Linked DNA regions of Notamacropus eugenii. The protein of the gene in region 1 purifies or fractionates together with the protein of each later gene. This does not show direct contact. Links are inferred from orthologs where the notes say so. Each region holds a gene or a part of one and is shown on either strand. Other genes may lie near its edges. The genes, in order: COPA, COPG1, COPB1 and COPG2.

Region 1 (7,840 bases):
ACCTCTAAATTCCTTATAGAAAGAAATCAATGCATCTCAGAATCCTAGAATTTCAAATTTGGAATGTACCTCAGAGGTCATCTAATCCAACACCTACTTCACCTAGAATCACTTCTATAATAGCCCCAAGTGATCATTCAGCCTTGAAGACCTCTAGGGATGGGAAATCCATTTCTAAGGCAACTCATTTCACTTTTTGTTACCTCTAATTGTTTTGAAATGTTTCCTTATGTCAAGTCAGTTTGCCTCTCTGAAATATCTACCTGTTGATTCTAGTTTTGTCGTGTGAGATCAAAGACACAGCTATTAAGATATTTGAAGTAGTTATTGAGCCCTCCCTAAATCTTCTCTTCTTCAGAAGTCCTCAGTTCTTGCAACTGGTCATCGTGAAGTCCTTCATCTCCTCTGGATGATGTACAGCTTATAAATGTCCTTCTTAAAATGTAGTGTCCAAAAAAAGAATACCTCTAGATGTGATCCAAGCATGTCATGGCACAGCAGGATTATCACCTTTGTTCTGTATATTATATCTCTAAACGTTGCCTAAAATACCAATAGTTTTTAAGCCACAATATCACACCATTAACTCACACTGAGTTTGCAATTCATTAAACACTCAAGATCTTAATTAGGAGAACTGTTGACTAGCCATGCTTTTTCTCCATCTTTAACTTGTAATGGTGATTTTTTGAACTGAAGTAATGGACTTTATATTTTTCTTATACAAGTTAGTTATGATAGATTTCAGTCCAATATTCCAGACTGTTAATACTTTTTTGGATAGTGATGTCAATTTGAACTCATTTGACATACTTGTGAGGAATTTTTAAGGAAATATAAGTTACATCTTTTATAATGTAGTTGCATTATGAAAAGGTTTGAAAGTTACTGACAGACTAATGTTTCTTGTGTGATACATCCCGTAATCAATACACCAATAAGCATTTATCAAGTGCTTGCACTATCCTAAGTACTGGGGATATAAATATAAAATAAGACAATCCTTGTCCTCAAGAAACTTTCATTTTAATAGGGGAAGCAATATATTGACAGAGAAGTAACTACAGCATATACACAAAATAAATACAAAGTGATGGAGGGGAGGGAGCAGATACTTAGAATAGGGGAATCAGGAAAGATTTATTGAACGAATGGTTATCTGAGCTGAACCTTGAAGGGAGCCATGGGTTCCATTAATGGAAGTGAGGAGAATGAAAAATTCTAGTCAAGGGGAGAGCCAACAAAAGATACAGAGACGAGAGATACAACACTATGTACCAAGAACAGCAAGTCTAGAGTACAGAATGTATTGTAATAGATGGGAGAGGATAAGCGATTAGCTATTATCTCTCTTTATTCCACCTTTCTTCAGAGAAGTCAAAATTTAGCTATATTTTAATTCTCATTTATTCAGAAACTAAGGCTTTTGGGGAACAGATGGCTTGCTTATGGTCATATGTAACAGTTGAACACTTTGGACATGGGATTTCTACCTACAATTCCTTCTCTAGAAGTCATAATTGTAACCAAGGGCTTCTGTACTAATGCTACAAAAGTTCTTGTAACAGTTATTTGTTCAAACTACTAACTCCTTGTCACTTAAGGTCATAGAAAAACCTTAAATGTACGTTATGATAATCAAGATCTTCATAAGAACCTGATAAACTCGGAATGACCCTTTATAATTCCACTGCTTACTAAACCTAAAAGATGGGATTTGACTTTTAGTATCCTTATAGAGTTTACTCCCCTACCTTTTCCTTCCTCTTCAGATTTTATTGAGAAATCCCTGACAGAGTCCTGGGAAGCATACCCTTCTCTTCTCATCTCCTCACCTGGTCAGTCAAAAACCTTCAGGTTTTAGAGTACAGACATAAAGGAGGTGAGGAGAGGTGAGGGAAAGGAATAAGCATTTATATAGTGCCAACTACATGCCAGGCACTGTGCTAAGTGCTTTTTACAAATATTATCTCATTTGATCCTTACCACAACCCTTTGAGGTGTTACTGTTGTCGCTATTATGCAGATGAGAAAACTGAGGCAATCAGAGGTTGAATGACTTGCCCAGAGTAACACAGCTAGCAAGTGTCTGAGGTCAAATTTGAACTCAGGTCTTTTCTGATTTCAGTCCCAGGGCTCTATCTATTGCACCATCAACTGCCTCTACAAGGTAGAGGAACAAGATAGTCTGGCGACAGAAGAAATTGATGAAAATCAATGGGATGGGAATATTGCAGCTTCTAAAGTAGAAGTAATTAGTCCTTTTCTCGCAAAAGTTACCTAACAGAAACAGGTAGGTGGGAACAGGATCAGAATTCAGAACCCAAGAACTATACCCATAATACTTAATTTTGATACATTAAATAGAGCCTTGACAGCTAGAGAAAGACCAGGAGCTGGTAAACCCTTAGCAACATTATCCTGTCCATCCTTTCACCTTTTCAGAGAAATCAAAAGGATAAAACAATGACAACCCTCATTCACAGCCCAGGAAAGACTAGGGAGGGGAATGGGACTGTGTGTGTACCCAAGGTGATTGGGGATGGTGGGGAGTGAGGGGTCTGGGGAAGGTACATAGATAGGTCTATCAATGAACCAACCTACTGAGGTTGCAAGAAGGGCCTATCTATTATGGGATAGTGCTGGGCATGGGGGTATAGAAAAAACATTATACGGCAGTCTGTGCACTTGAGGAGCTTACCTTCCAGTACACTGGGACGTGATCACAGTTAAATAAGTAAGAAATACGAATTTCCCCCCTCACCCCATACATTTGTGTCGGGGAAGGCGTTCTGGATAGCGAAGGTACCCGGGAATGGGGGAGGGGAGAAAGACGGGGAAACGTAATAAAAGGGGTCAGATCTGAAAGAGCGAATGGGGGGAAAACCCAGGGATCACCAAAGTCCCTCTCCTTCCAGGCAGGCTCCGACCCGATCCCCTCAGGCCCCAGATTTCGGATCGCTTTTCCTCCCCTCCCCCCACCCCCCCAGGGCGAAGGCACTCCCTCAGGCGCCACACCCCGGGTCCCTCGGCTTCCCCTTCCTCCCCACCTTTGACTCGCGCACTCTTGGTCTCGAATTTGGTCAGCATCTTTGTCCGCCCTAGTCCAGGCCCCGGCTTCGGTTCCGGCCGCGGCCCGAAGCGCAGCCCGACTGGCCCGGGTCCCCTCCACGTCAGCACCGCCCCGCAGCCGCAGCCGCAGCCGGAAGCGCCCTACGCCTAACGCACTTCCGCCTGAAGGCCACAGAGACTGGCAGGGGAGCGGCCTAGAGAGGCCTCTGTCAGGCTGGAGGGGGCAGGAGGCGGAAGCGGCCCGGAGAGGCAAGATGGCCACTGCTGGGGGCGGCGGAGGAGCCGCCTCTGGGGGCCGGCGAACCTGCCTCCTCTTTTGCTTCGTTCCTTTGCTGGCAGGTGAGCCCTCCCCACCCCCCCGGAGCCGCGAGGGCCTCTTTGCGAGAACTTCCTTTACTCCGAAACCGCCCAGGCGCCCTTGGGTCCTCCGTCCCGCCGATTCGCAAACCCCCCTACTCGGCGTTCCCCCGACACAAGTTCCGCGCTTCTCGAGGATTTAAAGCCCCCGTTCTGCCCCCAGCCCGGAGGAGCTGCTGTCCGAGGCCCCCGCCTTCCCGCTGGGCTTCTTGGAGGCCCCCGGGCGGTGGGAGTCTGGGATCAGGCTCGTTCCCATCCCTGTACCTCAGTTTCTCCTCTCTGCCAAACAGACGGAGACGGACTCTTGGCCGCTTTGGCTCTTCCGAGCTACGAGGAGAAGTTTCCCTGGCCCTGAAGCTTTGGGGGGCGGGGGGCGGGGCTGCAGCTGGGGTTTGCTTTTCCTGTGCCTCTCGTGTGGGGGGGGGGGGGCTCCCTCTCTCCAGCTACCTCCGTGCCCTCCCCAGCCCCAAGGTGGTAGCCTTGGTCCTTCAGGATCTCCCTCCCGTGACTGTAGTGGGTGAACTTGTAAGAGCTGCGTCTGACAGTGGCGTGTGTAGACCGGGTTTCCTCCCTTTCCACCTCATTTCTTGGGAATACAGAGAAAGACTTTGAATCCAGGCACTGCTCTGGAGCTCGCACTCTTTACAATTAATCAGTAATCCACACATAGGGCTTCCTTTGACCACATTTTCTCTTATCTGGGAACTAGTGTGATTGCGCTACCGTGGTTAGTAAGAAACTTGGATTTCTCTAGTGTTTGGGGGGAGGGGTGGAAGGAGCGTGCTCCTTCCTGTGTCCTAATGGACATATTGAGTGAAGATAATATGCATTATGTTCATTTAACAGACCACGAAACTGAGCCCAGAGAGGCTGAGTGATTTGCTTAACGTAAGGAGATAGATAGGTTAAAGGCACGGCTAAAACTAGAACCCAAGTTTCCCAACCCAGAATTTTTCCTGCTGACATATGCCAGTCTCATGCCACCTCCTTGCTGAGAAGATGAGTAAGGGAACTATGCCCCTTTTATTTTTAAAACTTCTTTCTTACACCTGTTGCTTTCTCTTCAGGTCTGTGCCAAACAAATTCAGTGGAGAGGAAGATCTACATCCCCTTGAACAGAACGGCTCCCTGTGTCCGCCTGCTCAATGCCACTCACCAGATTGGCTGCCAGTGTAAGTTGGCAATTAGTGCTTTAGTGCTCCGGGAATTCCAGAGCCTGTATTAGGTAGACTGCAAGTTAATTGGGGGTAGCAGAACACAGTCAGAATAGGGAAGAAGGGAAATCAGTGGGATTACATCTGACTGTTACATTGATCTTTTCAAAAAATAAATTTACTAATACATTTTTTGATTGGTTGGTTTTTTTGGAGGCAATTGAGGTTAAGTGACTTGCCGAGGGTCACACAGCTAGAATCTGAGGCTGGATTTGAACCTAGGTCCTTCTGATTCCATACATTTTGTTTTGACACAGCAAATCCTTCCCAACAAATAGCTAAACAAACCCCTTTACAAAGTACATCCCCCTACAGGTTATTGATTTTTTTAAAAACAGAATTGTCTTAACTTTGTCTAGTGCTGATGATCATTGTTTTTGACCAGTCCTTTGTTACCTCTCTATACTGATCTTAATGACATTGTCATTAGATAGAGATAATCTATATCTATATGGATTATCTATATAGATAATCCATATCTATGTATTGATATCTATCTTTTTTGCCCTTCTGTATCTGTATATTGATATCTACCTTTCTTTTACTTCTGATTTACTTCATATGTCTTCCCACGTTTCTCCAAATTCTTTACATTTGTCGTTCTTTACGGCTCAGTAACATTAAATTCGAGTATAATTTATTCACCTAGTTCTATGGTCGTTGGGCATGTATTTTGTTTCTCACTCTCTGTTATTACAAATAATCTTGTAAATTAAAAAAATATATATATATATATGTCTTTTTTTGCTTTTGATAAGCTCCTTGAGATGTAGGTCAAATTAAATCTCTTGAGTCAAAGGGAATGAACAATTTAATAAGTTCTTATGTGATTCCAAACTTTTCTAGAATGGTTGAACCAAGCCATAACTCCATTATCAGTTAATTATCTTTCTTGTTTTCCTGTAACTATTCCAGGGATAGGTTTTCTCCTCCTTTAACATCTTTGCCACTTGGTGGTTATATACTTGAGGATTATCCTAATTTCTCTTTTCTTCTGATTATTAATGACCCTCTGCATTTCCAAGTGGTGATAAGTAGCTTGTATTTCTTCTTTTGAAAACAGTTCGTGTCTGCTGTGTGTAAGTGTGGTCCAGTGGAAAGAGCAGTGGCTCAGAAATAGAAGACTTGGATTCAAATCCCACCTCTGATGCTTGCTCTGTTTTTGATTTTGAACAAGTCATTTAACCTGCTTGAGCCTCAGTTTCCTCAACTGTAAAATAACTTGGGACAAAAATGGAAGCTTCTTCATTGGAGTAATGGTCTTGCTTGTATTTATATTTCAAGAGCTTACAAAGTACCTGGCACATAGTTAGCACTTGATAAATGCTGTAAATAGATGGTCTCTGAATTTCCTTTCAAGTCAGGATCTGTGATCTTTTGACTATTTCTCTATTGTACAGTGATATTCTTAGAGTCTGAGGTGGACTTCTGAGAAGCAGTGAATTGTTTGATAATGAAGAAACTCTGAGAATGCTAATGAGTTGTCATCCATGGGAATGACATTCAATGAAATCATGAAACTCTTCTTATCAGAAGGAGAGATGAAGCAGGAGGTGGTGCTAAGAAGCTTCACATAAAAGAATATCACAGAGGAGAGAATGGGGTGATTGACTCCCTGTGGTTGGTGGTCCATGATTTGATTTTTATTCCATCAGCAGCACCTATTTCTGGACATCAAATTTCCTTTTGAAATAGGAAGTTAGACTAGTACAGAGAGTCTAGTATGAAACTCTTTCTACCATACTGTGTGACCTTGAACAAATTATTTCACTTCTCTGAGATGTGGGTTCTTTTCTTTCCATAAAAAATGATGAAATATTCCTTCTTTCTTTTCTTTCAGTGGAGGATTTGAGGTTCAGTGAGAGTATTTCTTTAAACTCATAAAGATAAGCTTAGTCTTTGTAGATTGTAATGAATAGGTATTTTGGTTTCAGCAGCTATTTGCTGTGAAATAAAGCATCTGGGATAGTTAGGGATACCATGTCACCATGATGAAGAGAACTGTTCAAATGGGTGGAATGGTTCTGAGAGCCCTGGATTACTAGTGTGTTATCTCCCCATTATCAGCCTGTCCTGTCTTTAGTCAAGTAGTTGATGTTTTGTTGCATGACTGCAGTAGCTACTTCCTGGCTGGGTTAGCTAGTTCTAGACAGACCCTTAAGTTATAGGATCATTGCTGGAAATATACCCAACATGGAATGAGGGATAGTGGATCTGTTATGGTCTCTAACTGCAGTTTCAGTTCCAACCTTAAGTATAGGGGCTTGAACCCCATTCTCCTGGAACCAGGTTCTGACAGTGCTTGTCTTTTAAACCCTTTTTGGCAGTGACTCATCCATCATGCTACCTATGTTTACCACAGCCTTGTAGAATGTATGATCTTATAAGCAAAGCTGAGCATTGGAAAGAGGAGGAGCAAGACTCAGGCTATTTCCTCATTAGAAACCTGTTTCCTTTTCAATCTGGCTAGGTCTAAGTTTCCCTCTTCAGGTTCATCCACCTCTGAACAAGGCTACACCTTCTTTAATTGGGATTGCTAACATGATAATCCTCTGGGGAAATAGTGAGGCACAGTATTGGTTTACTGATAACAATATCCCATGTTTATTGGACTCCTTTCCCTAGGGAGCTCAAAGGCTTGTGCAGGTTCCTTTTTCATACAGTCTGTCTCTTCCTGGGGAGAGGGTTAGGGAGCAGCTCAGCCGATTGCCATTTTTGCCCAGAGAGATTAAGCAACTTGTTTAAAGTCATAGAGTGAACCAGGGATGCTCCCCAGACTAGAATCTAGGTTTCCTATCATTTTTCTTTTCTCCAAGCCTCATTAAAGCAGGAGTTACTAATCTTTCATAGCCACTATCCCTTTTTCTCCCCGTAGGTTACATATAGTACAATTAGAGAGATCTACAGGTCATACTCAACTAGAAATAGATCATAGTTTACGTACTGACTTAGGAAACCACAAATTAACATTATCTATGTTGTATTGTTTTTTCATTTATTTTGTTAAAAATGTCCCAATTACATTTAAATCTATTTTGCAGCACTCCTTGGTTTTGCAGGCCAAATGGGGTCCAAGTTTGTCTTCTCTTGTCTACAGTGTACTTCAAATCTTTGTAAAAGTTATTTCAAACTTGGAGCTTTTTCCAAGTGTTTGTCACCTGTGGCCATTATTTCCCATGCAATACCTTTCCTCCATG
Region 2 (7,723 bases), on another chromosome or scaffold:
AAAGGTCAACATATCACAGAAGGGCTAAAACCATCCAAGCAGAGCCCAAGTAAACTCATGATGGCGGAGACGTAGGTATCACCACTGATGCTCACATGTGTGGTTCGTGCTGTGAATATATGCTAATGCATATGTGTCATTTTTTGTATTCTGGTTTTCTTTTTTACTTTTTATGTTTTCTGATTTATGTACTAATGACATGCATTGTACTAATATATTACTGTTGCTAAGGATGCTTACTAACCATATAATTTTACTGTTTTACATTCACATCCTTATATACTAGGTATGTATATTCATGGGTCTTTGTAAGGTATTCTTGTAATATATCCCGCATATAATTTAGGCCTCTAGTCATAAAGTAGTTCTATCAAGTGATAATTTGCATTATGCAGTGCTTACTGCGGGTAATGTTAACATAGCTATGATCTGTAAACAGTACAGTGGAATGCTTTAAGTTGCTGTTCAAGTGTATCAGTAAAACTTTGTGGGGACTATAAAATCTTTTGCTGAGAGGTAGGAATGTAACAAATGTGTAGTTAGGAAGAGCCTTTCTTTGAACTTTTTGGTTTCGGCCCAGAACTACACATTCCACAAATGAACCGGAGAGCTCAGAAGTGTCTAGTACTAAACAGCGAGGAGATGTGGTTAAATGTCAGGGGAAATGGAGTTCTTTAAAAGACTGACTGGACCACGCAGCTGTGGGATTGCCCAGGACAGGGGAACTGGACTCATACCAAGAAACAGTCATACCAGACAACCATGATATCCACGGGGTTGGATTCAACTTGCCTGGTAGAGGGAGTCCCTATCTTCTTCCCTTGGGCTTTTGGGATGGGAGACTGTAGCCACCTGGGTTTCTGGGAAGTCAAATGACATTTCGATAAGTATTTTGAGAGAAGTAAGGTCAACATACCTGCACTGGGATTTTGTAAGAGAGCTCAAGAGTTCTCCTGGTCAGGGATTGGTTGAATTGGAAAGCCTGACGGTAACCTCCCCCACCTGTCCCTTTTTTTCTATTTATCACTGACATTGACAGGAGGAATAAATAATATTGTTCCTTTGCAAGTGGCTTCTATTAATGTTGATTCTCTGGGGTTTTTTGGGACAGCTAGGTGGCACAATGGATAGCTGGGAGTGAGGAAGACTCTTCTTCCTGAGTTCAAATCTGACTTCAAACACTTACTAGATGTGTGACCCTGGGCAAGTCACTTAACCCTGTTTGCCTCCATTTCCTCATGTAAAAAATGAGGTGGAGAAGGAAATGGCAAACCATTTCAACTTCTTTGCCAAAAAATATCCCCAAGAGTCAAACACAACCCAACAACAAATACTGTGTTTATTATCTTTCTATGTCTTGTAGTAAACATACCTAAACTATTATTTGAATCTGTTTTTCTTTTAGTTCACGTGGATTAGGGACTGAGGCAATCAAGATATGAACCATACACCTAAGATATATTTTAGAGATGTTCATGGAATCAAAGTCAAAATTGTAACATTTAGGAAATATTTTATGTGAATGATTCTTTCACATTTTTAAAAGCCTAGAGAGAGCCTAGAAGAATCTGGATCAAGGTTAGGGGGACAGAAGCTTGCCATATATAGCAACCTCAACAACTGTGGTCAGCTATTGAAAACTGTGCTTCCAACATCTCCCTTGAGGAGAGACAGGATAGAAGAGGGAAAGAAACAGGCTCTTATTAAATGGCTACAACGTGCTGGGCAATGTCCTAAGAATTTTACAAATATCTCATCTGCTCCTCACAACAACCAAGGGAAGTAGGTACTATTATTATCTGTATTTTACACTGAGGAAAATGAGACAGAAATTGAATGACTTGTCCAGGGCCACAGAACGAGTAAATTTCTGAGGCTGAATTTGAACTCAAGTCTTACTGAGTCCAGGTCCAGTGGTTTAAAAACTTTGCCACCTAAATGGACCTCTAATATTACTGTTATAGGGAGTTCCTTCTTGCTAAGAAACTTTTCCTTTCAGCATTTATTAGCATTTTTCTGTAACCATTTTAGAGAGTTGCCTTGAGGGATGGGGATAAAACTTCTCACTCTATGAGGAACCTTTCAGGCCTCTTGCTCTATGTGGAATGTCTATCATCTAATTTCCTTATTTTACTAATAAGTAGAGGCTAAAGAAGGTGACTTGTTTAAGGTCACAGAGTAAGTGGGTGAGGTGGGAATAGAACCCAGTCCTCCTGTGCTGTGGTGAGGGATGTTTCCATTCTAATTATGCTGCCCCCACCTAGGAGGGAGCACATTTGTTTGGCATCAAAGAATAAAGAAAAAGCATTGGTCTTTGATTCAGAAGACTGGGATTTGAATGCTGTGATCTTGGACAGGTCACCTAACAAATGAGATAATATTTGTAAAATGCTTAGCATATAGTAGGTTATATATATATATACATATATATGTACATATATGTATATATATATATATATATATAGCTTAATTCTTCTTGGCCTCAATTTACTATTTATAAAAAACAAGGGGGTTATATCTCTCCAGCTCCTGCTTGCTTTCCATTTATGATCTTCCTGTTGTGATTCGTGGCTTTCTGGTCCCAGGTGTGACAGATCCCTGGATGGAAGGGCTAATACGTGGCATAGGAGAATTGCTGGTCTGTGGCTTCCTCTGATTCTGTCCTAAGAGCTCCCTCAGGAGAGAGCAGGGCTCTAGTGACAGACAATGCATCTGCTGTCTATGCTGGCTCATCATAAGAATGTTGGCCATGGAAGGAGAACTATTTTTGGCCATACCAGGTCATGAATATCATCTCGCTTAGGAAGGGAGTACCCACCAGCACTGAAGGAAACATTAATTTTAAAGTAGAAGTTCAATTGAACATTTTATCTTTCACTATTTTTACATCATTCTCTGTTTCATAATGCATCTAAGTCATGTCTCCCCAAAGAGACTGCGGATTCCTTGAGGGGAAAGATAGATACTTTGATTTAATGATGGAACCTAAGATTGGTATACAGTTAACACTCAATATTATAACAATCCATATTTGTATAGCATAGTGCAGTGTACAAAGCATTTTTCTCACTACCCTATGGAGGAGATAGGGAAAAAAATATTAAGTGAATTAAAGAGGAATTTCCACATCCATAGGTCTACTTATGGTGTCTATGCAGGTAACTCATCAAAGCTAAATATTCAGCACCTCCCTCTCTTCTGAATTTCAGTCTTGCATCACCAATAGCCTCTTGGACTTCTGGAACTAGAAGTCTTGGAGATAGCTAAACTCAACATTCAAAAACAAAGCCCATAGTATTCTTTTCCTCTACCCTCAACCCCCTGATTTTTGAAAATTTCCTATTCCTGTCCCAGGTACCACTATCCTTCCTGTCTCCCAAGTTCCTAATCTCAGCACTATCATTAACTCTTTAATTTCCCTCACCCCAAACATCCAGTCGGTTGCCAGATCTTGATGTCTCTTCTTTCACGACTTTTCTCTTATCCAACTTTCTCTCTGCTCATTGAAAAATCCCCCCTATTTCAGGTCCCATCACCTCTCATTTCAGATTATTGCACAGGCCTCCTAACTGGTCTCCCTGACTTCTCTTTCCCCATTCCAGATCACACATCTGCCTATATTACACCTACTCAAAAACTCTAGTGGCTTCCTATGGTCTCTAGGATTAAATGATCCAATAAAAACTCCTCCGTGTGCCTTTCAAAGCCCTTCACAAGCTGGCCCCGACCTCTATTTCTGGCTGCATTATACATTACTGTTCCTCCTAAGCATCTTGGTCCAGTCAAACTGGCTTTATTCTAGATCCTTACACACCAAGCCCTTAATCTCCCATCTCCACGCCTTTGCCTGGAAGGTACTCCTTCCCCACTTCCTCCTCCAGAATGTCCCTTTTCCTTCTGGATGGTTAGCTTTTATCTTGTCTTTCTCCTGTACATCTGCAGACATGTATATAATGTCTCCTCGAACAGAAGCTGAGCTCCTCGGGAGGAGGGACTGTTTGATTTTGTATGGGTTTCACCAGCTCCCACAACAGTGACCAGCATGGGGCAGGTGCTGGATAAATGCTTGCGGAAGGGAACGAGCTGTTCACACGATTAACTTCACACTTGCCAGGCTCGTGGTCACCGAAGACAAAGGTCCCGGAACGTGGAGTCCACGGAGAAGCTCGGGTTCAAAGCCAGACTTTGCTCCTTCTAGTTGGGTGACCTCGGCAAAGCCCCAACTTCTGTTTCGTCGTCTTTAAAAAAAATGGGGGGGAGCGGTGGGCTAAGACTCTTCCTCTTCCTTCAAGCTCCAAAGGACAAGACCCCACGACAGAGGAGATGGATGTCGATGGAGGGAAGCGTCCTACCTGGGCAGGTGGGCCCGCGGCTGCTGAGGAGCCACGCTCCGCCCCGGGCAGGACGGGGTTAATGGAGTAAGCCCTGAACTTGGTCAGTTACAGCTTCCAGCTGGGAGGCCTTCAGGCCATAGTGTGCGCAGGCGCGAGCAGAAGGCGCAGCACTGAGCCCGCCCCACACGCGGCAGGATGTGGTTAAGCGAGAGCGCCTTCTAGTGGTCTATCGAAGCTTCTTCAGCTTTCCGGTCAGTGTGCGCAGGCGCGAGCAGAAGGAGCAGGGTTGAGCCCGCCCCATACAGGGCAGGATGTGGTTAAGCGAGAGCGCCTTCTAGTGGTCTATCGAAGCTTCTTCAGCTTTCCGGTCAGAATGTGCGCAGGCGCTGGCAGAGCGAGCTGTCTCGGGCTCGCAGGAGCTCAGCCTTACAGAACTGAGCCGGACACGACAGGGTTAAGCCGAGAAACGTGTCTGCCGTCCAGGTCAGAAGGCTCGAAGTAGACGGGTCTAGGCGTGCGCAGGCGCTCTGAGAGCGAGGGGGGCGGGGTACGGGAGGATCGCGCAGGCGCGCTACGCAGGGAGACGTGTCCCCCGGACTGGGTGGCCGGAAGTAGCCCGTACGGACTTGGATCTGGCCGGGTCTTGCAGGCGTCTGCCCGGTCCGTCAGTGCTGTCTGTCAGTTCAGCCGGCCCCCAGGATGCTGAAGAAGTTCGACAAGAAGGACGAAGAGTCCGGTGAGGGCCGGGGGGGCGGCTCCGGGACCCCGGGCCTGATGCAAGGCGGAGGGGGACCCCCTCTCCCCATGCCAGCTAACGGGCCGGGCGGGGCGGCCGGGCGGGGCCGCGGGGCCGGCGGGTGGGGGGCGTCCTCACTGCCCGAGGTCAGGGGCCCAAGCTGTTTGGGGAGCACGTCCCTCCTTGTTTAAAGGGAAGGCCTGCCGGGTGCCAGGCCCGAGTGAAAAAGCTGGGCAGACCCTGTCCGCAAAGGGCTTATCTTCTGCTGTGCAGCGTGTCACATACTTACAGGACGTGGGGGGCCGTTGACAGTGGGGGGACAACATGTCAGATAATTACAGGACATGGGGGAACGCTAACAACGCTGGGGGGGAGCAGCATGTCATAATTACAGGACGTGGGGGGCCATTGACAGTGGGGGGACATTAACAACACTGGGGGGGAGCAGCATGTCGTAATTACAGGACGTGGGGGGCCATTGACAGTGGGGGGACATTAACAACACTGGGGGGGAGCAGCATGTCGTAATTACAGGACGTGGGGGCCATTGAAATGGGGGGACATTAACAACACTGGGGGAGCAACATACAGATGTTGGGACTTGGGGGGGACATTAGCAACACTGTACATTCTTAAGGATTTATATTATCTTAGAACCAGCAGCATGTGTACATACAAGTAAATGCAAAATTCATACAAAGTAAATAAATAATCCAGGAGGTGAGGTAAGGGGATACAGTAGCACCTGCAGGGATAGGTAGATAGTGTTATTTGAACCAAGTGTTCAAGAAAGCTGGTTATTCTAAGAGTCAGAAGTGAGGAGGGAACACTTTGCAGATACAGGACAGCTTTTGCCATGACATCAAGATGGACGATGGATTATGTGTGTGCATATTAGTTTGGCTGGAATGAAAGGTGCATGAGGCATGTGATATGTAATAAGTCAGGAAAGGTAAGTTTGGAGTAAGTGTGAAGAGCTTGCAATACCAGCTGAATTTTGTTTTATCCTAAAGGTTATAGGGATTGGAGCTTTTTAAGCAGTGGATTGATCTGGTCAGGCTTTGCTTTAGTAGTGTCACTTTGGTAGCTGTGTGAGGGATGGATTGGGGAAGGGAAGGATTTGAGAGAGGAAGACCATCTAATAATCCAGGCAGAAGGTAATGAGTTCCTGAAGTAATGGTAGATGTGTGAGTGGAGAGGAGATGAATGCAAGAAATGTGGTGGAGGTAAAATTGACATTTGACCATGTTGGATGTGGCAGAGGTGAAAGAGACCTAGTTGAAGTCGCCTCAAAATTTTGAACCTGGGCAAGTAGAATAGTGGCATCCTTGATAAAAGGATAATGTGGGAGGGAGAGTACTTAAGGTACTTCAGCCAGCGTGAGGTACAGAGACTTTTACAGGATAATAGGATTGAGAGGTGGCAGAAATCTTAGAGACTATCTAGCCTAAGCCCCTTGTTTGATAAGTGGGGAAACTTGAAGCCCAGAAAAGATGAGTTTACCCCCAGGCAGCACAGTAGGTACCAGAGTCAGGACTTGAACCTAAATTAATCTCTTCCATTTATTTGTTCATTTATCCATTCATTACATCATTCTGTCTTTCATATTAGTAATTTAACAAAATGTCTACTATGTGCAAAGAGATATCAGTCAGTCACTAGCATTTTTTATGCGCCACCTGTGTGCTAGGCACGAAGATAAATGGAATAGATGCCTTCACAGAACTTATAATCTAATAGTAACCAAAAAGTATTCAGATATAATGCATGTTAAATGATTATAACTGTGTAAGGGGAATGTCAAAGTACTTTGAGATCAGATGAGACCAATCACTTTCAGCTGTCTAGCTTGAGGCAAGAAGGAGATGAAGGGGGAATTCAGGAAAGGCTTCCTGGAGGAGGTGGACTTTAAACTGGGCTTTGCAGAATAGGTAGGATGTCAGATGATGGAAGTAGGTGGAAGAAGACTTCCAAATTTAGAAAGTAATATAAATAAAAGTTCAAGAGTAGAAAAATTCAGGTCAGTTTAGGAAACAATGAACCAGTCTAATTTCACTGGAATGTGGAGTACTTGAGGGAAGGTAGAGTGAAATAAAACTGGAAAAGCAGGGAGGTCCCAGATGGTGGGAGCCTTAAATGCCAACCTGAGAAATTCAGAGACAGTGATATTGTCTAAGAAGTTAAAGTATTCATAAGATTACAGGTTTAGAGCTAAAAAAGACCGAAGGGTCATCTAGTCCAGCCCCTTTTTATTGATGAGGGAATTGGAGACCAGAAACATGCTTTTACTTGCTTGATAATTACTCAGATTGTAAGTACGTAGTAAGAATCAGAACTTGAACTCAGGTCTTCTCCACATCCAGTCCTCTCTCTATTGCATTATGCCATCTTTGTTCCTGTCCTATACTACACAGGGTGCTTACTACTCCTTGGAAGTTAGTTATCAGGAAAGATATAAACCCAGAAGACCAGAAGCCCACCAGGACCTGGGAAAGTTCTGTCTAGTATAAACTTTGGCACCATCCTAGTTAGAGAGAGACAGAGGAAGGGCAGAAGGATATCATAAACTATTCAGCTGTGGATTTGAGAAGCTTTTGATGACATACCAAGAACTCGAGGCAGAAATTGGAGCTGAAGCCTGGAATCCAGAATA
Region 3 (7,023 bases), on another chromosome or scaffold:
AGGCAGAATGAGAGAGGAGAAAGAATACAGAACTTTGGAGTTTGTGTTAAAAAAGTTTGTGTTCAAATTCTTTCTTTGACATTTAGTATTTGTATTACTATAGATAACCTAAGTCTTAGTTTATTTATTTATAGGAAGGGATAATAATACCTATCAGCTGCCCATCTAACAATGTTTCACTGGGGATCAAATCACACACACACACACACACTCACACATGGACACCCCCTCACACACTCTCACACATACACACTCACACACCCATGGATACCCCCTCACACCCACACACACACCTACACCCACGGACACCCCCTCACACACACACACACACTCACATACACACACACACACACACACACACACACACACTCTCTCTCTCTCTGTCAATTGCTGCGTAATGCCACTTACTGTTATAATTATTGTTACTGCTACCTTTCCTTCTAGCCCTAAATCTTTGGATCTTAGGTGAGAAGTCCATCTCCTTTGGTTTACCTAAAGAAATATAAGAAGACCCTACAGGGGTCTCACAAAGAGACCAAGACAGTTTCAACCTTGTACACACACCATCAATTACCCAGCACTTCTTAATAAGAAGAGAAGCCCTTTAAAAATCAAGGTTGTGTTTTTTGGGAGGAGAAAGGGAACAAGCATTCACATAGCTCCTACTCTGTGCCAGGCACTGTGCAAAGCACCTTGCAAATGTCTCATCGCACAGCCCATCTCTTATGTTCTCTTTGCATTATTCAGACCACGTCCTACTTTCAAATTTCAATCCAATTTAAAAAATATTTGGTGAGTGCTGATATATGCAATGTACCATGTAGGTGCTGGAAATTTAAACAAAGAATAATACATGCAAAGTCTTAGCACAAGAGGTTTTCATTTTTAGTGACAGATAATCACAGAATATTCAGAAGCACTTTTACTAACCTATTTATACACGGTTTTCTTCATATAAAAACTCTGGATTAAAATCCCCTACATTAACCTTTCTTTTATGCCTCTTCATGTTGTGATGATGACCATAGATTCACAAAGGCTGTGTCAACAAGGTTCAAGCTCTGGCTTACCAAGGAGAAAAGTTCTGAAAAACTGCTTTTTATCACTGGAAAACCAGCTTAGCAAGGTTCAGAAAAACACATTCCCAGAAAATTAGCCAAAGTGTAACAAACTTTGTCCCACAACTCATGAAGATGGTACACGAAATAAACCTTAAGTAGGATTGTGAGCTATGCTGATAATGGCGGGCCACACAAAGATAAAACCATGGATCTCGTGTATTGAAATCAAACAAAAATCTATGTTTCTAATTATAAATTACCTCCATAAACAAATATGTTCATGTCAAGGTTTCCCATCCTTCACTTACCAAGGTCATTTTTTAAGATAATTTCTGATGGTGGTTCTGAATCCATTGGTACGTTAATTAACGTATAGCATACATTTTCTGCAGCAGTCATGGTGTTTGGTTATGGGTACTCCACAGTGCAAGTATTTTTGATGACAGGTATCAGAAATTCTAGAATAAGTACAAGATATCATTACTTATTAAAAGTTTCGATAAGTCAACAAACATAATTCTAACATGGGCAACGAAAATACACTCAGGTCTGCTTAATAACTTTAAAACAATCTTAAGATTGGCCTGGCATAGCATCGCATGTCTGTGAATCTTATGACTGGGGAAGCTGAAGATGCTGTACTGCTTGAGTTGGGAAATGTTTAGCTCACTAAAGTCAATTGGGCATCAGTACCAATATGGGAGCCTTCGGGAGGGAGGGGGAAGAGCCACCTGGCTGCCTAAAGAGAGGACAAAGTGACCCAAGTTGGAAAAGTAGCAAAATCAAAGCCTCTGGGCTGATCCAGGCCAGGACTAGCCTGTGTGCAGCCAATGCCCTCCCAGCCTGGGCATGGTGGGGAGGCAGTCTCCATTTTTTAAAAATAATTGTAGTCTAAGATTCCAAGGCAGTTATTTCATTGCAATGAATACAGGGTCACCTAAACGTGCGCCAGGCATCCCTTGTACAAAACAAGTTTCCGCCCAGTCTAGCCTTCGAGACTGGCAGCCCTCAGATTAGGCTGCAGAGAGGTGCCCAGCAGCTGGGGACAAGGCCAGACCCTGCCCCCCCATCCTGCAGAGTCCATCAGGATCCAGGCCACTGAGGGGGTTTGGGAGACACCTGCATTTCCTTCCTTACAAGCTGGGAGACCCCAGGTCCCTCACATTTCCTTTCCAAGGTAAAATGGGGGCAATTTTTCTTCTGCCTATCCCCCCTTTTTCTTTACCCACTTCAGGGTGGTTTTGGGGAGATTTCTAAGAGCTAAAGGGCCAAAGGATATCTTTGTGATGATGGGACATCATTATAGGGATGACAGGGACAGTCGATCAACGCGCATTTATTAGGCGCCTGTGGTATGCCGGGCGCTGGGGATATAAAAGCTCCTCCAGGAGCTGCCAGTCTAGGGCACGCTGCCTGCAAACACCATCCAGGGGAATGCCAGGGAGCGCCAGGAAGAGCTGCCCTGCAAAGCCTCCCCTCGAGGGGAGCCGGGGGCACAGAAGGGAAGGGAGAGCATTCCGGGCGGCGGGGACGGGCGGGGGAAAAGCCCGGGGTCAGGAGATGGCCGTGGGGAACGGGCAAGCCAAGGTGGAACGGGGGAGGGGGGGCTGGGTGGGGCGGCTCCGGCCCAGGCAGGAAGGGCTACAGGTCAAGCCCCGGCTTCCCGGGCTGTGTCAGCACCCCCAGGGTCGGGGGTCGGAGGCCCGACAGGCGTCCCCCCTCCCCCACTCCCGCCCCCTGCCCGGCCTGGGGGGAGGGCTCCGAGGACAGGGCCGAGCAGGCCCAGGGACGCGACCCCGCCGAGGGCCGCCCTCCCGCCCCTTCCCAGCGGAGCGGCGCGGCCCCCACTCGGGCCTAGCCTCGACTCCTACCCGCTACCCGGCCCGGGGCGGTGACGGCGGCAGCAACGGCAGCGGCGGCTCCGGCTCCTCAGAGTCCCGGGCTGACGTGGAAGGGATGAAGACCGAAGCCACCTAGTGTCTACGGCGGCCCGGAGAGGACACGCCTCCTCCCGCCGCTCAGCTTCGCCTCCCACGTCCTAGGCCCCGCCCCCACATTCTAGGCCCGCCTCCTACGTCCTCGGCCCCCGCCCCATCCCCGCCCCCTGCTGGGCGGCTGCGCGGTGCCGAGGCTGGCTACGCATCCCTAGGCTCAGCGCGCCTCTGTCCCTGGGATCCTGGCGGCGTAGCCCTGCTCCGGGCCCCGGAGAGACCTGGAGCGGAGCTGAGAATAGCAAGAGTAACGATAATGTAACGTAATGCAACATACAGCATATAATTGACACAATGTATCGTGTCGTTGGGCGGCACAGGGCGCAGACCGCTGCCCCTGGAGTCAGTACAGCTAGCTGTGTGACCCTGGGCAAGTCATGTAACCCTGCTTGCCTCAGGGTCCTCTTCAGTTGGAGAAGGAGATGGCAAAGCACTCCAGTGTCTCTGCCAAGAAAACTCCAAAGGGGGTCAGGGAGAGTGGCACACAACAGAACTACAAGCCTTATATTTCCTGTTTATATCTTGTCAGATTCTTCTCTGCTACTGGATGTGTAACAGTAAGCTCTTTCAAAGGCAGAGAATGTTTCGTTTTTCATATCTGTACCCTCTGCCCTTAGCAATCAATCAGTCACTTCCTAAACATTTACTAAGCACCTACTATGTGCCAGGCATTAAGCTAAGCACTGGGGATACAGTAACAGGCAAAGATGGTCCCTGTCCTGGAGGCTCTGCACAGTGGTTGAGTGAAATAATAGGGATAATAGTAATTACTAACATTTATATAGCGCCTTACTGTGTCAGTGGTACCCTGTCAGTAGCTGTTGCAAGAAGGTTCATGATAGCTGGAATTTTCCTGCTTTAGTAGAAAACTCAAAGAATTTTCATAAAATTCTTAGTATATGCTAGAGACAGCCTCACCACTTGGTCAGATCTTGCTTTTCTCTATCTCTGGTAAGCATTCCCTAGTCATGGCTCCATGAGTCTCTCCAGGACTGCTGGTGGTATTGAGGGCTCACCTGGCCTGATACGTGCTGCCCTCCCTTCTCCTATTACTACAGCTTCTCAGCACCCAACACCGTCCTCCCCAGGACAGAATTAGCAGCATGGAGTATATTTCTGTTGCCATCAGACTTGCTGACCCTGTGTGAGAATTGCCAGTGATTGATCACACTGGATTAATGCTTTCAGGCAAAGGTTTTATTCCCTTGGCAGATGTGAAACTATCAGAATAATTTGAGAAGCTTTTGTGCCCTCCCAGGCAGTCTCTTGGAAGGTGCCTAGCATCCCTTTCTTCCTTGGCACTCTACTACATAAGGCCTTTCCCAAGAGTTTTATCTTTTCTCTCCTAGGGGCAGCTAGGTGGTGCAATGGATACAGCAGGAGTCAGGAGTACCTGAGTTCAAATCTCACCTCAGACACTTGACACTCACTAGCTGTATGACCTTGGGCAAGTCACTTAACCCCAGTTGCCTCATCCTGGGTCATCTCCAGTCATCTTGATGAATATCTGGTTCCTGGATTCAGATAGCTCTGGAGTAGTGAGGCTGGATGTAGGGTTATAGGAAGACTACAATACATTCAGAATAATGGAAACTTCTTATACTGTTCCAAATTTTGGATGTCCCTTGACACTGTCCATTGCCACAAACAGCTCGTCAAGCCTGTGCACAAGTTTCTGACCTCTGACCTAACCGTGCTAGGTCACAATCCTGATCACCCAAAGCTTGTGGAAACAAAACTTATTGTTTCCCACAAGGTATCAGCCCTTTCTAGTCATCTTATTATCAAACAGGTACTTATTACCTATTCTATCGTATCCTCCAAGTCTACTCATTTGAGATTTTAAAGAAAACACTCAAAATTTGTTCCAATTCTGGAAGTTTTCATACTTTTTCCCCTATCATTGTTGTTATTCAGTCATGTCTCACTCTCCCTGACCCCATTTGGGGTTTTCTTGGCAGAGATGCTAGAGTGGTTTGTCATTTCTTTCTCCAGCTGTTTTTACAGATGAGGAATCTCAGGCAAACAGGGTTATGTGACTTGCCCAAGGTCACACAGTAAGTGTCTGAGGCTGGATTTGAACTCAGGTCTTTCTGACTTGAGGCCTGGTGCACCTTCCACTGTGCCACCTTGTTGCCCTCCTTTCACAAGGCAGTTGGAGTCATTTCCAAGGTATATTTCCAAGGTTCCTTCCAACTCTAAGACCTAAGATCTCTGAGAAATGGTCATTCAACCTCTGCTTGAAGACCTTCAAGGAAGATCATGTCTCAAGGTAGTCCCTTTCCCTTCGGCATAGCTTTGTTAGGAAGTATTTATTTAAATACTTGCTTCGATAGCTTCCAACAATTGTTTTTGATTCTGCCCTCTGGGGTCAAAAAACCCCTAAATCCATTCCCTATAACACATGGCAAAATAACTTCAGACAGTATTGATGAGCAGCTATGATAAATCCTATTAAATCTTTTCTTCAGGCTAAATTAGCCCAGTACTTTCAACCAATTCTTAAATGTCAGTTTCAAATCTTCCCACCATGCTAGTCAATATGTTACATATAAATAATAATAATAATAATGAACGCAGTGCTGCATAGATTACATAGGTTTCCAAAGTGCTTTATGTCACTTCATCTTCATAATCTGTAAGGGAGGTGATATTATTATCCCCATTTTATAGATTTTATAGATGAGGAAAACTAAGATCCAGAAAGGTCAATTCACTTAGCAACACGCAGCTAGCTAGCAACACACGGTAAGGCAGGAGCTGTGACCATAGGAGGAACAATGACCAGGCTGCATCTCATAGGGGCCAATGGCTGAGGGAATTGTTGATCCCAAGGCTCTTGGTCTCAGAATTCTGGGCTGTTTCCTTGAGGCCTGAGGGGAGATGGTGATCAGGGTGGTGGTTTGCTGCCTATCTCTCCCTCAAGGGCCCTTGCTGCTTCAGCTAGGCTGGCGGAAGGTGGGGATGGTTGACCCGTTCTCCACAGGAGCTGTTTCCCAGGAAAATAGCTGAGGGCACTGGGCTGGAAGCATAGCTAGCTATTCCCAAGGCTCCTAAGTTCAGGGTCTTGGGATGTTTGCCATTAGTCTGAGGGGAGATGGGAGTGGTGCTATTACTCACCTGACACTCGCTGGCTTGACTTCACTTCTCTAAAACCTGTTTCTTCATTTCAAAAATAGGACTCTCAAAACCTGTACCGCCCACCTCCTAAGGTTGTTGTAAGCAAAATCCTTTTTAAACTATAAAACTACTTAGACGTCAGTGATTATTATAGGCAAACTAGCAAATAATCCCCGTCTTTGGTACTGGTCTTTGGGCCATATGGTTTTTTTTTTTTACAAGACTGACTTTCTTACTAGTGTTTTATTATGTCTAAATTAAAATGAGTTTAACTTCGCACAGTGGTGATAAGGGGTGGGTCACAAGTTTAAGAACAGAAACTAGAGATTATATCCTTTCACCTAGTGATCTCACTGGTGGGAACATACTCTAAGGAAGTTAATGACAAGGGAAAAGACCCAAGAGTACAAAAAATTTGTAGTACTGTTATTTATAATATTGAAAAACTCTTAACTACCCAAATATCCATGGACTGAGGAATGGCAGAATCTGTTCCCCAGGATTGTTAAATGTTCCCAACCTTACCTCTGCCTCTCAGACAACCTAATTTCCTTCACAGCTCATGTGCCATATTCTACTTTTCCATGATGTTCACTAGAATGATGGCTATTTCCTTTAGAAAAAATGCCAATTTTTAAAGGAATGGGTCCCAGATAATTGGGGTGTTTCCTCCCACCCCAGACCCTCTATTCCAAACTACACCTGTCAGCTGGTCAAGAGATTTCCAGCTTCACTGCCCTGTCGTCCTTATTTGAGGGCTGAGAATGAAGGTGATGATATATTCTTTTTCCCTTTTAGTTCAGCAAATTTCAAGAAAATTAAAATCACAGACATTAACTATGGATGCAGCA
Region 4 (7,909 bases), on another chromosome or scaffold:
CTTTAGGGGATTTAGTAGGTTGCAAATTTATTGTGAGCCAAGTATGCTAACAAAAGACCTTAAAACCTTAATATAACCTTAGGCCACTTTAATAGAGGAACAGTGTCCAGAGCTAAGGAAATAAAAGTACTATTGCAGTTGCTCTAAACAAATCATCTCAGGATTATTGTGATCATTTCTGGGAAGCACATTTTAGGATGAGCCTTGATAAGGTGTAAAATATCCAGAAGAAAGTAACATAGATTAAGAAAGGTCTTTAGGTCATACTACACGAGTACTGGTTGAAGGAAGTAGAGATGTTTAGTCTGGGAAAAAAAAAAACTTGCTGTGGGCTGCCATGACTCTCAAGTATTCAAAGGGCTGTCACATAGAAGAGAGGTTAGATTTTTTTTTCACTTGGCCTCAGAGGGAACAAGTAGGAGCGTTGGATGGAAGTTGTAGAGGCAGAATAGGCTTGATTTAAGAAAAAATTTCTGGCAATTAAAGCTAATCATAAGTAGAATGGGCTACCTCTGGAAGTAGGTGATTGACCTCCCTTACTAGAAGTCTTCAAGCAAAGGCTGGATAACTACTGGTTGGGTATGATCTAAGGGGAAGCTCTTGTTCAAATATGGGTTAGATTTAGTGGATTCTGATGCCCCTTCCAACTCTAAGGTTCTGAGTCTGAGGTTTTGCCACTCCTTCTGGGGAACAGTGCTACTTTGGATGGATGCTGAAATCACACTATTTCAGGTGTTACTTTCTGTCAACTTCTTTGGGTGGAACTGGAACCCAATCCAGGTTCCAGTTCCACAACCTTAAAAGCCCAATGTGCCAATCTTGCCTTTTCACATACTATTGATGTAATCCTAATAAAGCTACCCCCAGCCCCAATATTCTAACTTCCTTTTGGGCCCTACTGAACAGCAGGCCCACTGCCCCTCCCTAGCCACTGCCCCCCACTCACACTCAGTACTCCTATCTTCTTCATATATGCATCACTGCTCACTAGAACAACAGAAGAGTCCATGAACTCCCTCTTCTCACAGAACAGCAGGCGTGTCCATGTGAAAGGACACCAGCCACTGCCCCCAGACCCACTCCTCATATTTCCCACAGAAACAGCAGGTGTATCCATGCACTCAACCACAACCGCATCCATCAAGTCTCAGACAGGACCACAGTAGTCAGCCAATCAGAAAGCAGCAGCACCAGGATGACCAAGCTGGATGTGGACCCCAAAACAATAGAAGGGACTTTCCCTAAGTGGGCACCTATGCAGAAATAGCAAAAGCTGTCCTTTAGATGAACTTATGACATAGAGAGGTTTATTATAATATCATTATCATACATACATAACCCCTTATGGGTTTTTTTCTGTAGCATTGTGAGTAATCGCATGTGCAGTTCCACTGAGGTTGGGAGCCCTCCCTTATTATCTAATCCCTTAATAAACTCCTCCTGCCTTTTTAATATTCATAATTTTTGTTACATAACTGCATCTTTACCCTATAAAAATCCATCTTGCTTTCCTAAAGTTGATAGTTCTTCTTGGAACTTAGCCCACTTAATGAGAGGCACCAATCTCAATAAATGCCTATACTTGGATGAGAGGTGTTTTGACTGAATTCTTTGAGATGGTTCCTCCACAACACATCCGTAAACCACAACACTATCATTTTCCCTTCTTCAGCCACAAGAACAACAGAAAATCACAACTCATGCTGGTCTCCCGCTGATGAAGAAGAAATTAAAGACTGAACCCAGGACTCCCTTTCCTGTAGCAATATTGGAGGATGCTATACCTAAGCGGGAACAGTGGTACAGGTGAAGCCCCAGCACTTTCCCTTACTAAGCCTCCCTTGTTCATGTGTTTGAGCACTGTGTTGGATTTGGAGCCTGGTACAGAGGCCAACTAGAGAGAAAGGTGACTCTGGAACTGCTATACCATATAGCACAGTAGTGGAGAGTGCTGGGCCTGGAGTCAGAAAGACCTGGGTTCAGATCCAGCTTCAGACACTTACTAGCTTTGTGACCCTAGACAAGTCACTTCACCTGTTTGCCTCAGTTTCCTCAACTGAAAAATAGGGATAATAATAGTACCTACCTTCTAGGATTGTTATGGGGATCTAAGGAGATTTATAAAGCACTTAGCACTTACCCTAGAACATAATTGCTTAATAAATACTTGTTACTTTTGTTCAACCTCCTTAACTACTTCCCTTCCTTTTCTCCTTCTTCCCTTCTTTTCTTCCGCCCTCTATTCCCCTTTCCTTCCCACCTTCCTTTATGTGCTCATAAGTCCTATAGGGCCAACTCCTAGTAACACCCTCTAAGATTCCATAAACCTCTTTTCTTTCAAACGCCATTAATCATAGGCTCCTTTCCTCTCTAAAACCCAGACAATGGAATTAACTTTTAACTGACAGATTCCCTTCTATCATGACCCTTGACTCTGGCTCCACTAAATGAATTTTCCCTGTTAAGGTTTTCCACCAATGCTGATTTCAAGGGTGAAGCCAAGTTTTCAAAGTTCCATGCCCTAAAGAAGCAGCAGGAAAAGTATCCTGAACTTTCCTTTGTTCCAGATTTTAGGTCAGGTAAGAAGAAAGATGTCGAAGTTCTCCTCCCTCTCTATTAAAGCATTGTTTTGGGGGCTGGATGCAAGTAAACACTAGAACTTGTTTAGAGAACAGGTAAAAAGAGGTTTGATGAATGTCCAGAGTAAACTTGCCTGTCACTTGTTCATACACAATGGGGATCAAAGCAGCAGAAGATCAGGTTCAAATCCCAACTTTATGACTACTACCTGTATGACCTTGGACCAGTTAACTCCATTTGTAAAATAAAGGAGTTGGACAAGATGGCCTCTGAAAGTCCTTTTAGCAGTGTGAAGTTGCTATGGCGTTGGACTTGGAGTTAGAAAGTCTTGGATTCAAATCCCAGCTCAGATCTTTACTGGCTGTGTGACCACCTGCAAGTGACTTAAACCTTTTTGTGCCTCAGTTTCAAGAACTGTAAAATGAGAAAGTTGGACTTCTTGAATTGTAAAGTCCTTTCCAAGCTCTAAACCTATGATCCTATAATCCTTTCACCTCTAAATCTCCTTTAATCTCCAGATTCCAAAGGCAAACTAAACAAACCTTTGAGATTTCCCTCTTTGCTCAATGAAGAACAATGTTCACACAAATCAGTGGCTGTCATAGAATTGAGGATTCATCTAATTCTATTTGGCCTCAGAGAGATGAACTTGGGTTGAAGTTATAGAAAGCAGATTTATGAGTAATGGAAGGAAAAATTTCTTTACAATTAAAACTGCTCAAAAGTGGAATGGGAGTTTTCCCCTCACTAGAAGCCTTCAAACAAAGGCTAGAGAAGGACTCCTTGGGATTCTGTTTCAGGTAGGGGTAAAACTAGACAGTCATTGGAGTAAATCTTTTCTGATTCTTAAGACTCTGTGGTTCTGAGTGGAGACGTATAGATAGGCAGAGGGGGAAAGAAGGGCAGTCCAAGTGGGTTCAAAGCTTGGCTGTCCCCCATGCCTGAAACACTCCTTACTTCTGCCTCCTCCTAGCTGACTTCCCTCAAGTTTCAGCTAATGTCCCACCTCCTGCAAGAAGCCTCTTCCAGTCCTTCATCTTAGTGCCTTCCCTCGGAGACTGCCAAATAATTTATCTTGTCTCTATCTCACATGTACTTAGTTATTTGCAAGCTGTCTCCCACATCAGACAAGAAGCTCTTTGAGAACAGGGGCTGTTTTCTGCTTTTCTTCGTATCCCTAGCGATGGTTGGGGATACACAGGTACAGAATGCCTGTCATATAGTGGGCTCTTAATCAGTGTTTTTTGACTAAGGGCAGAGGAGTAGAACGTACAGAGAAAGGGGGAGGACAATATGATCTCAAGAATATCTCACTGATGTTGACTGACAAATCATGGAAAAGAAGGGGGTAGAAATGAGCCTCATGACTTGGGAATACAGAGTGCCTCCTTCCTCCTAATGCAGAGTCAGTAAGCATTAAGTGCCTTCCATGTGCTAAGCGCTGGGGATATAAAGGGAGGCAAAAGAACAGCCCCTGTTCTCAAGAAGTTTACAACCTAACGGGTGGAGGACAGCGCGCACACAAATACAGACACAGCAAGCTATGTACAGGATAAATCGGACAGAATGAGCAGAGAGAGGCACTTAGAATCAGGAGGGCTGGGAAGGACTTCTGGCGGGAGGTGGGCTGGCAGCTGGAGGGCAGCATCCCGGAGGTGCAGGGACCTTCTCCTCGGTCGGACGGTCCAAGCGCCCCACTCCCGGAGGCACCACCTTCTCACGGCTTTCTCTGCTTGCCTGCAGCCGCAAGGGAAGCGAGGAGCAGACGGAAGATCTCCGTGGTAACCTGGGAGCCCCTGACCCTCGCGACCCTCCTGGAGGAGAAGCCCACGCTGACCGTGCCCTTGCCAGGAGAGAGCCCCTTCCGCTACGGGAGGGCCACGCAGTGGTTCATAAACACGACCGCGGTTCCTGACTGAGTCACGCGAGCTCCCGAGGCGCGGCACCCACTGCCACGGTCGGGCCCGCACTCGGGGCCTCCGCGTGACTAGGAGCGCCAGCCCAAAGGACCTCGTGTGTCTGTCACTCCGCGGCTCTGCAATGGGAGCTGTCGGTGCAGAATCGACCCACTTGTGCTCTCTATACGCGTGTTCGAGTGCATCTGTGCGCACGGAGGGAAGGGAGTGTTAGCACGGAGGGGAAGGCGTGACTACCGGCAGGGCGGGGCGGGGCTGACACCGCGCGGCAGGGGAAAGGGGCGGGGTTTCTGCTGGAGTGACGGGCGAACTGCCCAGCCAGCTGGAGGGATGGGGGCCGGGCTTCCGGTGGAGCCTGTTCCTCTCGGCGGTGTCGGCTCCGACGGTTCCGGTTGGCCTAGGGATCAGTTGTCGCGGGAGATGATTAAAAAATTCGACAAGAAGGACGAAGAGTCTGGTACACGCAGGGACCTGGGGAACGCCTCCGACCCCCACTTTCCAGCGCTTCCTCCTCGTAGTGCGGGGGCGGAGGGGCGGGGGCCGCGCGTCTTCCTCCCCCTGAGAGCTGGACGGAGGGAAGGGGGGAGGAGCGCGCGGGGCTGAGAGCGGCTCGGAGCTGGAGTCCCTCCTCCTCCACCAGGGCGAGTCCGTCGCGTGGCCCCTCCCCCAACTCGAGACCCTGCCTTCCCCCTTCTCCCCCTCCGGGTCCGGCCGCGTGCGCCGCGCCTGGCCTGCCCCACACCACCCGCCCCGCCCCTCGGCCCCGGCGCACGGGAGCCCTCCCCTGGCCGGCCCTCGGGCGCATGCTCCCGCTGCGCTGCCCCTCGCAGCCCTGCCCCTCCGGCCCCGGGGGTTGGTGGCGGAGAGGAGGCGGGGCCATGGCTGGAGGCGGTCGAAGTGAGCAGGGGAGGGGGCGAAGGGGCGGCGTGGGAGGGGGTGGGGGGCGAGGGTAAGAAGCGTGAGAACCCCCGGATCTCTGAAACCTAGGGCCGTTGCTCCTTGGTTCACATTCTCGGGGGGAAGCGAGAGTTCGTACACGCCCGGGGCCCCGACTTCCCTCGTGGGCCGTCCAGCCCAGCTCCGGGCTTTGGGGCCGGGGAAGCTGAGGGTGGGAAAATGGAAGGTTTAGGAAGGAGGGACGGGATCGCGGCTGGATTTGAAGGGCCCTCTCGTGGAAGACGGATTAGAACCTCCCCGCTTGCCCTCAGACCCAAAGGTGTCTCTTGTCAGGAGTAACTTGGCGTCGGTGGAGAGGAGTTGCCCACGATCAGGGCTGCCCCAAGTGGGCCAGGGCCGGCCTAGGACACGGTGGATCTCCCTCTTGGGGGACGTGGAGGGCGCTGGAGACCCCGGCCCCCAGCTGAAAGGGGGCAGACTCCAACACCTGGTGGCAGAACGGCGCCTTTGACCTAGACTCCCGGGGGGAACTCAGGCCTGCATCTTGGCTGGAGCGGAGGCGGGGCCTCCTGACTCTGGGAAGTTTCCCCTCAGTTTTCCTTGTTGCAAAGTTACTGAAATGAGTACTTAGTTAAAGAGCTCAAAGTGCTACAACAGTTTGATGCATGCTTGTCACAAAGGCCCATGGAGTTGGAAGGGACCTTGAAGCCCGTGCAGTCTGTCATGAGTCTCATTGAGAAGACCCCCTGCCAGCTAGACCAACTCCTTCATTTTTAAGATGAGAAAGTGAGATATGAATAGCGACAAGAAGCTCACGGATCTCACTCTCTTCTTTTGGATGCCTTCAATGGATAGGAAGTGCTTTCAGTCTACACCTAGTAATTCCTACTTATTTGATAGTTCCCAGTTTTGTCCCAGAAAATCTCAGAAGAATTTGTTCCAGGAAACTTGTTTTATAGCTTGGGCTTTCAGCCCCTACCACCTTACCCTAGGGCTATAGGGGCATACATTTAAAAAATGGAAGGGATATTAGAGGCTATCAAATTCAACCTCCTCTTCCTCCACGCACACTTTTTACAGAAATAGAAACTGAGTTACAGAGAGGTCACACAAGTAAGAATCCCAGCTAGGATCTGAACTTTTGTGTTCCTATTTCAAAGCCCGGCACTCCACCATTTACACCATAATATAATTCTTATTTAAGTCAGATTTTTGGTAAGTGTTCCAAAGTCGGGAGGTATGTCAGCAGAGCTAGACATAGAACCAAGGTCACTTCATTTCATCTACCAGCAACTTAGTAATGCCTGCCATTGTGGTATCCAGATGCTCAGGCTCTTATAAAAGTTTTCCTGAATTTGTTTCGATTTTTAAAATTTTGTTTCCAGTGTTGCTTAATTGTTGGTAAATGAATTTGCCTGTGGCTAGTTCTCAATACTATTTTGTTTTCTTTTTTAGGGAGTGGCTCTAACCCTTTTCAGCATCTGGAGAAGAGTGCTGTTTTGCAGGAGGTATGACTTAGAAGTATATTGTCTTTTATGTTTGTTTTCCCCAGAGTGGGATCAGAACATCTCTAGGAGACATTGGAGACATTCAGAGTTTATGTTGTAGTTATCATGACTGAAAAATGTTTGCCTAGTATTGAATTAAAGCATATAATGAATGAGATAAAATAATGCAGCCTAAAGGAAAAAAAGAACAATGTTTTGTCATTGGATGTTAGAAGAACATAAATATGCTGTGATGCCATGAAAATTTTGGTATGAAAGATGTCAAACAGGTACTTTGTATAAAGCTGCTGACAGAAGTTATAAATGTTAAATTTCATACCAGCTTTTTGAGTTACCTTAATATTGTGATTCTTATTTTGAAAAATGAAATTCTGAAATTAAACCGAAGGGAAAGAGTGGAATAGTATAATATAGAGACATATTTCCTAGTTCATTTTTCTAATATAATAAACTAAATGCTTCATTTAACTAATATTACTTAGACTTTATGATAAAAGAGTTTGACAACATCATTAATTTGTTGAAGACAATTTATTGAGATTTGTGATTGAGAAGGAAAAGGTACTATGTATTTGCTTTGCTCCCCCAGGCTCGTATCTTCAATGAGACTCCTATCAATCCAAGACGATGTCTACATATTCTGACCAAGATCCTTTATTTACTGAACCAGGTAAATGAAACTTAGGGAAGCAGTTCTTTCTGGGGCTCAGTTTTCCTAATCCATAGAATGAAAGGGTTTGACTAGATGAACTTTAAAGATCTCTTTGACTGCTTAAGTCCTATGGTTTTTTATTCTTTCAAAATTTGTCGTTTTTAAAAGTAAGCTTTTTTAAAATCCAGAAAGTTTATTTTAATTGAATAACAAGATTGAAAAGTCCTTGAGGGCAGAGACCATATTATGTACCTTTTTGGTATTCTCCCATATCAGTTTATCAAGTATATATTAAGCACTACACTGTACTAGGCCAAATACTTTGTGCTGGGGACACGGACAAAAATCAGTCTTTG

The links.
Region 2: the proteins of COPA (region 1) and COPG1 purify together in Homo sapiens (affinity purification with mass spectrometry; 6 studies listed by BioGRID and IntAct, counting the BioPlex papers as one, with this or other methods). This does not show direct contact. The link is inferred for Notamacropus eugenii from reciprocal best matches to the Homo sapiens genes COPA and COPG1.
Region 3: the proteins of COPA (region 1) and COPB1 fractionate together in Homo sapiens (co-fractionation; 6 studies listed by BioGRID and IntAct, with this or other methods). This does not show direct contact. The link is inferred for Notamacropus eugenii from reciprocal best matches to the Homo sapiens genes COPA and COPB1.
Region 4: the proteins of COPA (region 1) and COPG2 fractionate together in Homo sapiens (co-fractionation; 4 studies listed by BioGRID and IntAct, with this or other methods). This does not show direct contact. The link is inferred for Notamacropus eugenii from reciprocal best matches to the Homo sapiens genes COPA and COPG2.

Annotation. Positions count from the first base shown.
Region 1 is NC_092873.1:385,357,282-385,365,121, forward strand, and holds the start of COPA (coatomer subunit alpha), read right to left. Parts: upstream 3,180-7,840; 5' UTR 3,091-3,179; coding exon 3,051-3,090; intron 1-3,050. Other genes in the region: NCSTN (nicastrin), read left to right, coding at 3,327-3,411, 4,497-4,601. UniProt on the Homo sapiens protein: The coatomer is a cytosolic protein complex that binds to dilysine motifs and reversibly associates with Golgi non-clathrin-coated vesicles, which further mediate biosynthetic protein transport from the ER, via the Golgi up to the trans Golgi network.
Region 2 is NC_092874.1:425,498,104-425,505,826, forward strand, and holds the start of COPG1 (coatomer subunit gamma-1), read left to right. Parts: upstream 1-4,588; 5' UTR 4,589-5,033; coding exon 5,034-5,070; intron 5,071-7,723. UniProt on the Homo sapiens protein: The coatomer is a cytosolic protein complex that binds to dilysine motifs and reversibly associates with Golgi non-clathrin-coated vesicles, which further mediate biosynthetic protein transport from the ER, via the Golgi up to the trans Golgi network.
Region 3 is NC_092877.1:37,925,261-37,932,283, forward strand, and holds the start of COPB1 (coatomer subunit beta), read right to left. Parts: upstream 3,109-7,023; 5' UTR 2,933-3,108; intron 1,520-2,932; 5' UTR 1,461-1,519; coding exon 1,370-1,460; intron 1-1,369. UniProt on the Homo sapiens protein: The coatomer is a cytosolic protein complex that binds to dilysine motifs and reversibly associates with Golgi non-clathrin-coated vesicles, which further mediate biosynthetic protein transport from the ER, via the Golgi up to the trans Golgi network.
Region 4 is NC_092874.1:119,741,541-119,749,449, forward strand, and holds the start of COPG2 (coatomer subunit gamma-2), read left to right. Parts: upstream 1-4,821; 5' UTR 4,822-4,826; coding exon 4,827-4,953; intron 4,954-5,284; exon of another isoform or gene 5,285-5,299; coding exon of another isoform or gene 5,300-5,393; intron 5,394-5,489; exon of another isoform or gene 5,490-5,612; coding exon of another isoform or gene 5,613-5,712; exon of another isoform or gene 5,713-6,186; coding exon of another isoform or gene 6,187-6,271; intron 6,272-6,848; coding exon 6,849-6,901; intron 6,902-7,490; coding exon 7,491-7,571; intron 7,572-7,909. UniProt on the Homo sapiens protein: The coatomer is a cytosolic protein complex that binds to dilysine motifs and reversibly associates with Golgi non-clathrin-coated vesicles, which further mediate biosynthetic protein transport from the ER, via the Golgi up to the trans Golgi network.